Macaca mulatta: one gene and its partner. The protein of the gene in region 1 interacts with the protein of each later gene in a pairwise test. Links are inferred from orthologs where the notes say so. Each region holds a gene or a part of one and is shown in the gene's direction. Other genes may lie near its edges.

What was found.
Region 2: the proteins of ZNF774 (region 1) and BEGAIN interact in binary tests that used the Homo sapiens proteins (3 or more experiments, as listed by UniProt). The two-hybrid records come from large-scale screens. The link is inferred for Macaca mulatta from reciprocal best matches to the Homo sapiens genes ZNF774 and BEGAIN.

What each region holds. Positions count from the first base shown.
Region 1 is NC_133412.1:80,237,168-80,241,381, forward strand, and holds the start of ZNF774 (zinc finger protein 774), read left to right. Parts: upstream 1-1,414; 5' UTR 1,415-1,594; intron 1,595-3,862; 5' UTR 3,863-3,881; coding exon 3,882-3,985; intron 3,986-4,214.
Region 2 is NC_133412.1:173,917,146-173,921,405, reverse strand, and holds the start of BEGAIN (brain-enriched guanylate kinase-associated protein), read left to right. Parts: upstream 1-1,460; 5' UTR 1,461-1,471; coding exon 1,472-1,900; intron 1,901-4,260. UniProt on the Homo sapiens protein: May sustain the structure of the postsynaptic density (PSD).

The sequences.
Region 1 (4,214 bases):
TATCTTGCAGATGACTACAATTGTAGCAAAATAACTAAGATGCAACTGGCTATATGAAAAAAAAAAAGACAAAATATTACTTAGGATTTTTTTTTTTTTTTTTTGAGACGGAGTCTCACTGTGTCGCCCAGGCTGGAGTGCAGTGGCCGGATCTCAGCTCACTGCAAGCTCTGCCTCCCGGGTTTTTACGCCATTCTCCTGCCTCAGCCTCCCGAGTAGCCGGGACTACAGGCGCCCGCCACCTCGCCCGGCTAGTTTTTTGTATTTTTTTGTAGAGACGGGGTTTCACCGTGTTAGCCAGGATGATCTCGAACTCCTGACCTCGTGATCCGCCCGTCTCGGCCTCCCAAAGTGCTGGGATTACAGGCTTGAGCCACCGCGCCCGGCCTACTTAGGATTTTGATACCTTTTATGGTTTATCTCCCCTTTTGGCCTGTAAACTTCATGAAGGTAATGGTTATGTATGATTCCCGAGTAACCACAGTTCCCAGAACGATCTTGAGTATAGAATGTTCCCAATAAATATCCACTGGAAAATGCACCCTATTTTTGTTGAAGGAATGGTGGAATTAGCATCAAAGGGATCTTCAACATTAACTCTATGGCTAGCAATTCTAAGCGTTTTATAGTACATCACAAAATGGTCTTTCTTTTTCTAAATTACACTGAATCAACAAACGGAGTAGACAGGCACATTTTCTTCACTTTAAGGAAAGACATTATTTTTTAGCTAGGGGCCGACCCAAAGTGACCACTGGCTTTCACATGAGACCCAGGAGCCTCCCCAGTTTGAAGCCCAATATCACATTTCCCAGAATACTTGATGCCCTCGCCCGCCTCCTCTGGCTATCAACCAGACGGAAAGGGGATGCGCCTGGGAGTTTGATGCCAAGGGAAGGATACGGAATGTCTGTTTTCTCCTAAGGGCGTCTGCTGGGCCTTCCTTATGTCCAGTTTGAGTTGGTCTGGGACCCGGCCTCCGCAAACACTCTGCAGGCTCCGGCCGCCGGGTGTGAGGTGGAAGACTGGGCAGAAGAGAGGCTGCAAAGGCCAGAGGGCTGAGCTGCTCTGCGCTGGGGAGGGGCGAGGTGCCAGAGCGCGGGAGACCTCACGTTGGGCACCAGGCTGCTCCGCGGTAGGTGGGTGAGGCCAGGAGATTCACATCAGCAGATGCCACACTGAGGGTACGGCATTTAGATCCCTAGGCTCCAAACAGGCGGTTCCTGGGGGCCGGTAGCTGGGGAATTGGGTTTAGCACTTTTCAACGCTTGGAACTGGATATCCAAGGCTCCGAGTCCTTTGAGGTCTTGCTCGGGACTACGTTTCCCAGAAGGCTAGGCGGTAATTGATAGCTCTGTCAGCCTATGGACAGAGAAACATTCTAGCCATGGAAACTAAAAAGCCAATAGCAAGAGGACAGGGGCGGTACTTTCCGGCTGCGAGCTGTCGAAGCCTGAGTCCCACCTGTGTCCCCACAGCCCTGTCACGAATCCCGGTCGGGTTCTGGGAGGGACCGCCTCGGGGTTGCGGGCCGGGTGCGGCTCGGCGGTGGAGGACTCACTTCCTGCTCCATCCCCAGCTGGGCCCTGGGGCGGTGAGTGATCCAAGGAGGGAGACTGCGGCGGCAGCGGCGCGCTGCTGAGAGGCGTGGAGGGGGCTCGCCCGCCACCCAGACGTTTTCTCAGAGGGGTTCCCACGCTGGCCTTTGGGAGCCCCCGGGTCTTGCTGGGGTGTGGGAGAGGTAGCTGTGGTCTCTATACCGTCGTCGAGATAAGTCATTCTCTTAATGAGTTTTCTTGCTTCTCGATGGTGGTCCCCGGGTTTCAGCTGATCTGCCACCCTCTGACCGCCGCACCCTGGTTAGGGCCCCAGCACCGAGAAGAAGAACGGGGTTCAGCCCCACGCGTGCAGTCATGTTCCTATTAATAAACCCGGTGAACGCACTGGAGATTCTCACAATGGCACTTAGTCACAGCCCCTCAGAGCTGTAGGGCCTTTGAGGTCATCTGCGCATGGGGAAAGGGACGGGCTGGGAAACAGGGTTTCTATAACCGTGGCTAAGAAGTCTCCAGCAAGGGGGCCCTGCAGCTGTGTTTTGTAATGAATGTAGAAATAAAAATTATACTAAAAGCTCTTTTTTTTTTTTCCTTTTTCTTCTTCTACTTTTTTTTTTTTTTTTTTTTAGAGGGGATTTCGCTCTTGTTGCCCAGGCTGGAATGCAACGGTGCTATCTCCCTTCACTGTAGTCTCTGCCTCCCGGGTTCAAGCGATTCTCCTGCCGCAGCCTCCCGAGTAGTTGGGATTACAGGTGTGCGCCACCACACCCGGCTAATTTTGTATTCTTAGTAGAGACAGGGTTTCACCATGTTGGCCAGGTTGATCTCGAACTCCTGACCCCAGGTGATCTGCCCATCTCGTTCTCCCAAAGTGCTGGGATTACAGTCATGAGCCACAGCGCCCGACCAATACTGAAAACTGTTATTACCATTTTTACTTTCTAATTACATTATTGTTGTTTGTTAAAGTTTTAAACCAGAGCAATGGTTTTTAGATCCTTAAAAACTCAATACTTTATAAATGACCAATAATAATGTCTGTAAATACATAAATATTTTCCCCAAAAGTGTGTGTGTGTGTGTGTGTGTGTGTGTGTCTGTGTCTGTATCTGTGTTCCAGTAGTAAATAGGTGCTTTGTAGTGGGACAAAAGATGTGAAAGAGTAAAACTTCTTCACCCTAGTCTGGTCCTTCCTCCCGTGAAATGCAATATTCTTTGTAGTGGGTGGTCATGCTGGCTGAATTTTTTTTTTTTTTTTTTAAGGGAGAGACAGGGGCTCACTCTGTTGCTAGGCTGGAGTGCATGGAGTGCAGTGGCGCCATCATAGCTCACTGCAGCCTTGAACTCCTGGGCTGAAGTGATCCTCCCACCTCAGCCTCCTGAGTAGCTGGGACCACAAGTGCATGCCACCATGCCTGGCTGATTTTTAAAAGTTCTTTGTAGAGAAAGGGGTCTCAATATGTTGCTGAGGCTGGTGTATTGGAAAGTTTTTAAGGGAAAAAACATTATCTTAATTTCTTTGTGACTCCTATGCCTGGCAACATATTGATTGTTGAATAAATTACTGATCCATCCAGTAGTTGACTCTGACTATCCTCCAAAAAGTAATGTTTTTCATGATATTGCTGTCAATTTATTAATATATTAATGATTGGTTTCAGCCTCTAAGAGTTGTGTTTTGTGCTTATCCCCATTGACTTTCACTTATTTTTACAACCTATCCATGTCTTTTTTTAAAAAAAAAAAAACATGTCTTTTTCAGTCTTATTTCTGACTCCATTAAGATCTTGAAATAGAGTGGTATCCAACACAGTTCTCTTTGGGGTTCTGCATAATCTGTCCCTTGAGGTTGACCCCAAATCTGCAAGCCAAGAAGTCAGCTGTTCTCATAACTAATATGAGTATAGTTAAGTCCACAATTTCCTTGGTTGCTGAGGAAAATGAAGTTGGGGAGAATCAAAAGCTTTCCAGAAATCAAATTGTACCTACCAACTCTCTCCTTTGTTTACCTTGTTCATCGTGGACAATTTTTTCCTCAAAAAGTTAATGTATCTAAAAGACTGGGTTCTGTCCATGTGTTTGGGAGGCCTAGGCCTCTCTTAGTAATGGGAAAGTTGGCCAGGAGAAGATGTATGTAAAAACAGACTAAGAAAAGCAACCCTCTGTGGTTGACAGAATTTACCTCAGGACCATTCTGATCAGGTGTGGGGGGTTGTTTGTGTACACTGATGGCCATTTTTTGGCTTTCAGACAATGGTGAGAATACCTAGGGAGCTACTGATGCATATCGAGGTCTCTTGCTTTAGGAACTGATGACCCTTGATAATGTGGCTGAGGACTTCAGGGAAGAGTGGGTTACCTGGACACTGCTTAGAGAATCCTCTTCAGGAATGCCACCCAGCACAGTTAGAAGAATGGGCTATCAAAGGGTAAGAATGCTACTCTCCTTTATTTTATTTATTTATCTTGTTTTTTTGAGATGGGGTCTCGCTCTGTCATCCAGGCTGGAGTGCAGTGGCGTGATCTCGATTCACTGCAACCCTTGCCTCCTGGGCTCAAGCAATTCTCCCACCTCAACCTCCTGAGTAGCTGGGATCACAGGCATGTGCCACCATGCCCAGCTAGTTTTTGGTGTTTTTAGTAGAGACAGGATTTTGC
Region 2 (4,260 bases), about 94 Mb from region 1:
TAGCTTAAAGACAAGGGGTTCTTTTTCTTTCAAGTTAAAGAACTACCAGAGGAAGGCCAGGCACAGTGGCTGATGCCTGTAATCCCAGCACTTCGGGAGGCCAAGGCAGGCGGATCACCTGAGGTCAGGAGTTCGAGACTAGCCTGACCAACATGGTGAAACTCTGTCTCTACTAAAAATACAAAAATTAGCCAGGCGTGGTAGCAGGGACCTGTAGTCTCAGCTACTTTGGAGGCTGAGGCAGGAGAATTGCTTGAATCTGGGAGGCAGAAGTTGCAGTGAGCTGAGATCAAGCCATTGTACTCCAGCCTGAGCAACAAGAATGAAACTCCGTCTCAAAAAAAAAAAAAAAACAGTACCAGAGGCAGGTGATGCAGGGCTGGTGTGATGATTCAGTGGTCATGGGAGATCCAGATTCCTTTTGTCTTTCTGCTCCTCCATCTTTTATACATGGCTTCTGCCACAAGTTTGTCTCATGGTGCAAAATGTCTGCCACAGCTCCAGCCATCACTTCCATGTTCTAGAGAAGCAGCAGGAGGATGGGGAATGGGAAAAGGACACAGGTTGTCTGTCTGATCTTTTTCGCAGAGCTCTGCCAGCAGTCACACCCAACTTCTGTTTATAGTTCATTGGCGACCTCCTGGCCTGGCTGCATAGGAGCCCAGGAAAGATGGTCTTTTAGCTAACTACCCTGTATCTCAAAAGAGAATGAAGGCTCTGTAATAAGGATGCACGGGAGGACAGTGGGCTGCCCGCGGCCTCTGCCGACCCCTCCCATTTGCTGGTTTGCTGCAGTTCCAGTTTGCCCTGCTTCAGGCCCAGTGCTCACGCTGTCATGGTGACCATCGTGGCCATCTGTCCACTGCCTGTCCTCTGTGCCCCTGCACCCTGGACTGCACCTGGCAGAGGAGATGTCAGAGTAGGAGAGGGGGAGGCCCAGTCCAGGGTCCTGTGTACCACAGGAGCTCACTCAGGGCGGGCTACCTCCCCAGGCAGAGCCCAGGACATGACCTTCTCCTCTCTAGCACTTTCTAAGCCCTGAAGCTCAGCTTCCATTTAGTGAGAATCGATTTGGGGGTGGGAGGCCGTGAGGCCCTGCCACTGGATCAATGGGCAGGCGGGCATCTGGCTGGTTGCCCTGGTCTGTGAGGACGGGAGGCACAGCCCCTAAGAGGGCACAGGGATCCCAGCCCCATGGGAGGAGAGGAGTGGGTCACGGCGCTCTTGGGGAGCCCAGACCTTGGACTGACTCAGGAGGATGTTCTCAGGGGCCAGCTCCCAGGTACGGGGCTCTAACCCTGCCTGTCCCAAGCAGGGCAGCTACAGCTCCCTCCTGGAGCCCAGGGCAGCAGCCGCCATCAAGGAAGCCCACAGACAGGACCTTCGAAGCCACATGCCAAGCCCCAGCCAAGGTCGGAATCCTGAGGGCAAATCATCTTGCCCCAGCTGGGCAGCTCGGCCCAGCCAGGAGATGGCCCGGGTGTCGCCAGTCCGGCCGTCCTCCCCAGAGTCCCTGAACACAGGCAGCCGGGCTGTCACAGGCTCCCTCGCACGCCTGGGCCGCCGGCGGGAGGCCAGACTGCCCTTCTCCAGGTTCCTGGATGAGGTCACTGTGCGGGTTCTGGACCCTGGGACCCTGGAGGCCTTCAGGGTACCCAGAGGCCGCAGCCCAGAGCCCTCCGCAGTGGATCGAGGCCAAGGCCTGGCCCAGGAGGCCCTTGCAGGAGCTGCAGCCCCAGGGGAGAAGGACCCGGCCCTGAGCTCCCAGCCTTCTTCGGAGGCGGCCGCTGAGGCTGCAAGCAGAGTGGGGCCAGGCCAGGCCGTGGGAACTAGTGGGCCTTGCTTGGGCAGTGGCAAGCGCGGAGGCCGAGCTGCCTCCCCTTGGAGGCCTCCAGGTCGGGTGAGTCTCAACCCCAGAGGTCTCTTCCCTCCTCATGTGCCGTTTCCCCACAGTTCCTGTCTGACCTGCTCCAAGTTCCCTCCCCACACCCCTTTTATAATATCTGTAATAGGAAAGGCCTTAATTGCCAAAGGAATGAATCTCTAAGGTGAAATTTCTGACTTTGGGGCAGGCAGACTATTTCTGTATGGAATGCACATGCGTGAACAGTAATGATAACAATTATCATAATCCTCTCCCCACTGTGGCAAAGCCTTGGTGGTTTACCTCGGGCTTTCCTGTGATTATCCTTTTACAGTTTTGAGCCTGAGACAACCCCACATGAGGCAGGCTGTCCCACAGGCTTGTCAGGCAGGGAGGTGAGCTTTCATAGCTGCCCCCATTACATGGAGTTGGAAACTGAGGTTGTGAGGGGCTGCCACTTGCCCCAGGTGACACAGGGAGTCCTGGCTTGGGCTGTAGAGCTCTTTCATCGTACCCCGTCCACACATGCACTCTGACCTCAGACAGACAGACAAAAGATGTGGTGAGATTTCCTTAGCTGTCCTGGGGACGGAGCTGTGCAGAGCATTGGGCAGGTGGGACCTCACTCAGGGACTGGCACCCCCACCTTGGTGCTGACCTTCCATGCCCTGCACCGTCTGTGTCCCGTGGGCCAGGGAGGACCCCTGGGCTGCCTGGATGTTGCTCGTGCCCCAGTTCCACCTTCTCCCAACACGGGATGGAGGCAGAGGCGGTGGGCTGGGTTTGTGGGATATCAACCTGTAGCCTCCCAGGAAGGCTTTTCTGCTGGGAGGGGTTCTGTTCTGGGGACAAACCCCGGCTGAGTGCGATGACTGATACTCACGGAGCGTTGACTAGTGTTCTCAGCTTCTGACCCCCAGCTTGGGCGCAACTCCAGGAGGTCAGCGCCATCATTATGTCCCCAGTGCACAGAGGAAGAGGGAGGTGGAGGAGCCGGATTGGGCCCAGGCACTTTGCCCTCCACCTCTGCACCTCTGCCACCTGTGTGCTGCTGGCCCTCAGGTCAACTGCTCTGTCCAGGGATGGCCAGGGACAGGCCGGTGGGTGGGAAGTTCTGGTGATTTGAAGCCCTGCCAGCCCTTTCCCCGTAGGTCTGCATGGCCAGCTGGGGCCAGGCAGCTCTGGGTGGAAGCGCATCTCGAGGGTCAGTGGCCTTCTGTGTGACTCTGGACAGGTCACCCAGCCTCATTGTGCCTCAGTTTCCCCAGCAGTGAAAAGTCAGTCATGGTCACAGGCACCTAATAAGCATTGTGTCCCCATCTGCTCCTCCAGGGGGTGGTGAGCTGGGAGCCCCGCTTCTCTGCTGCTCTTGGCTCCGCTTACCATGCAGACCGCCCTCTGGGGACTGCTGAGCCCCAGGGGAGTCCTGGTGCCGCCTGGGCCCTGGAAGATTCCATCCCAGGGCTTCTTGCACATATCTCTCGGGGCCTCAGGGCCTGCTGGGGCCCAACAGTATGTTCAAGGGGCGAGGCTGCACCCTGGGGCCTGGCCAGGGTGGCCCCACCCAGGAGCCCAGCTTGACTGCTTGAAGCGAGAGGTGGCATCAGCCTCAGCAGGAGGGGCTGGACCATACCTGGCCTCGGAGGCCCCGGTCGCCAGGCCTAACTCCTGCTACACCCCACCTTCTCCCACCAGTCCCCCAGGATCGTATCTCATGATGGGCGCCAACTCTGAACCCTCCAGCTCCAGCCTCAAATCAAATACAGCAAGCCTGTGAAAGGGATCCTAGGGTCAGGCTCGTTCCATAAAGCAGGCACTGAGGCCCGGAAAGCTGAGTCCAGCAGAGTCCTGGTTGGGCTGTGCCCTGGCTGAAGTCACACTCCCCCCAGTGTCTCCATGGGGACATTAGAGATAACTGAGGAAGGGCCCTGGCACAAGGTAGGGATTCAGCCGCCGGGATGATAGTGGTGATAAAGATAGTGATGCCAGCCCTTCACAGGGGCTTGTCTGTTGATTTGAGTACCCACTGTGTGCCCTGTACCTTCCTGGCCTGGACAAGCCTCTATCCCCAGAATGCTTTCTGGAGGGGTAGCTCTGGGGAAGCAAGGCAGATCCCGGGCTTCCAGTCACCAGCCTGCAGACCCTTTGTTGAGAGACCGAGCCTGGGGCTCCACCATGAACCAGTTCTGGGAGGAAGCTGCTGCCCCAGGAGAGCCCTGGGTTTCATTCCTGTCCTGTGCTGTCCTGCCTGGCTGAGTGGCCGTGGGTGAGTCTCTGGTCCTCCTCTTCGTTGGTCAACAAACAAGAGGCAGCTGTAGAAGGTCTCTGGGACCTCCGGTTATCACAGACTTGGGACTGAGCCTCATTTATACTAGTGTGAATGACTCAATCCAGTG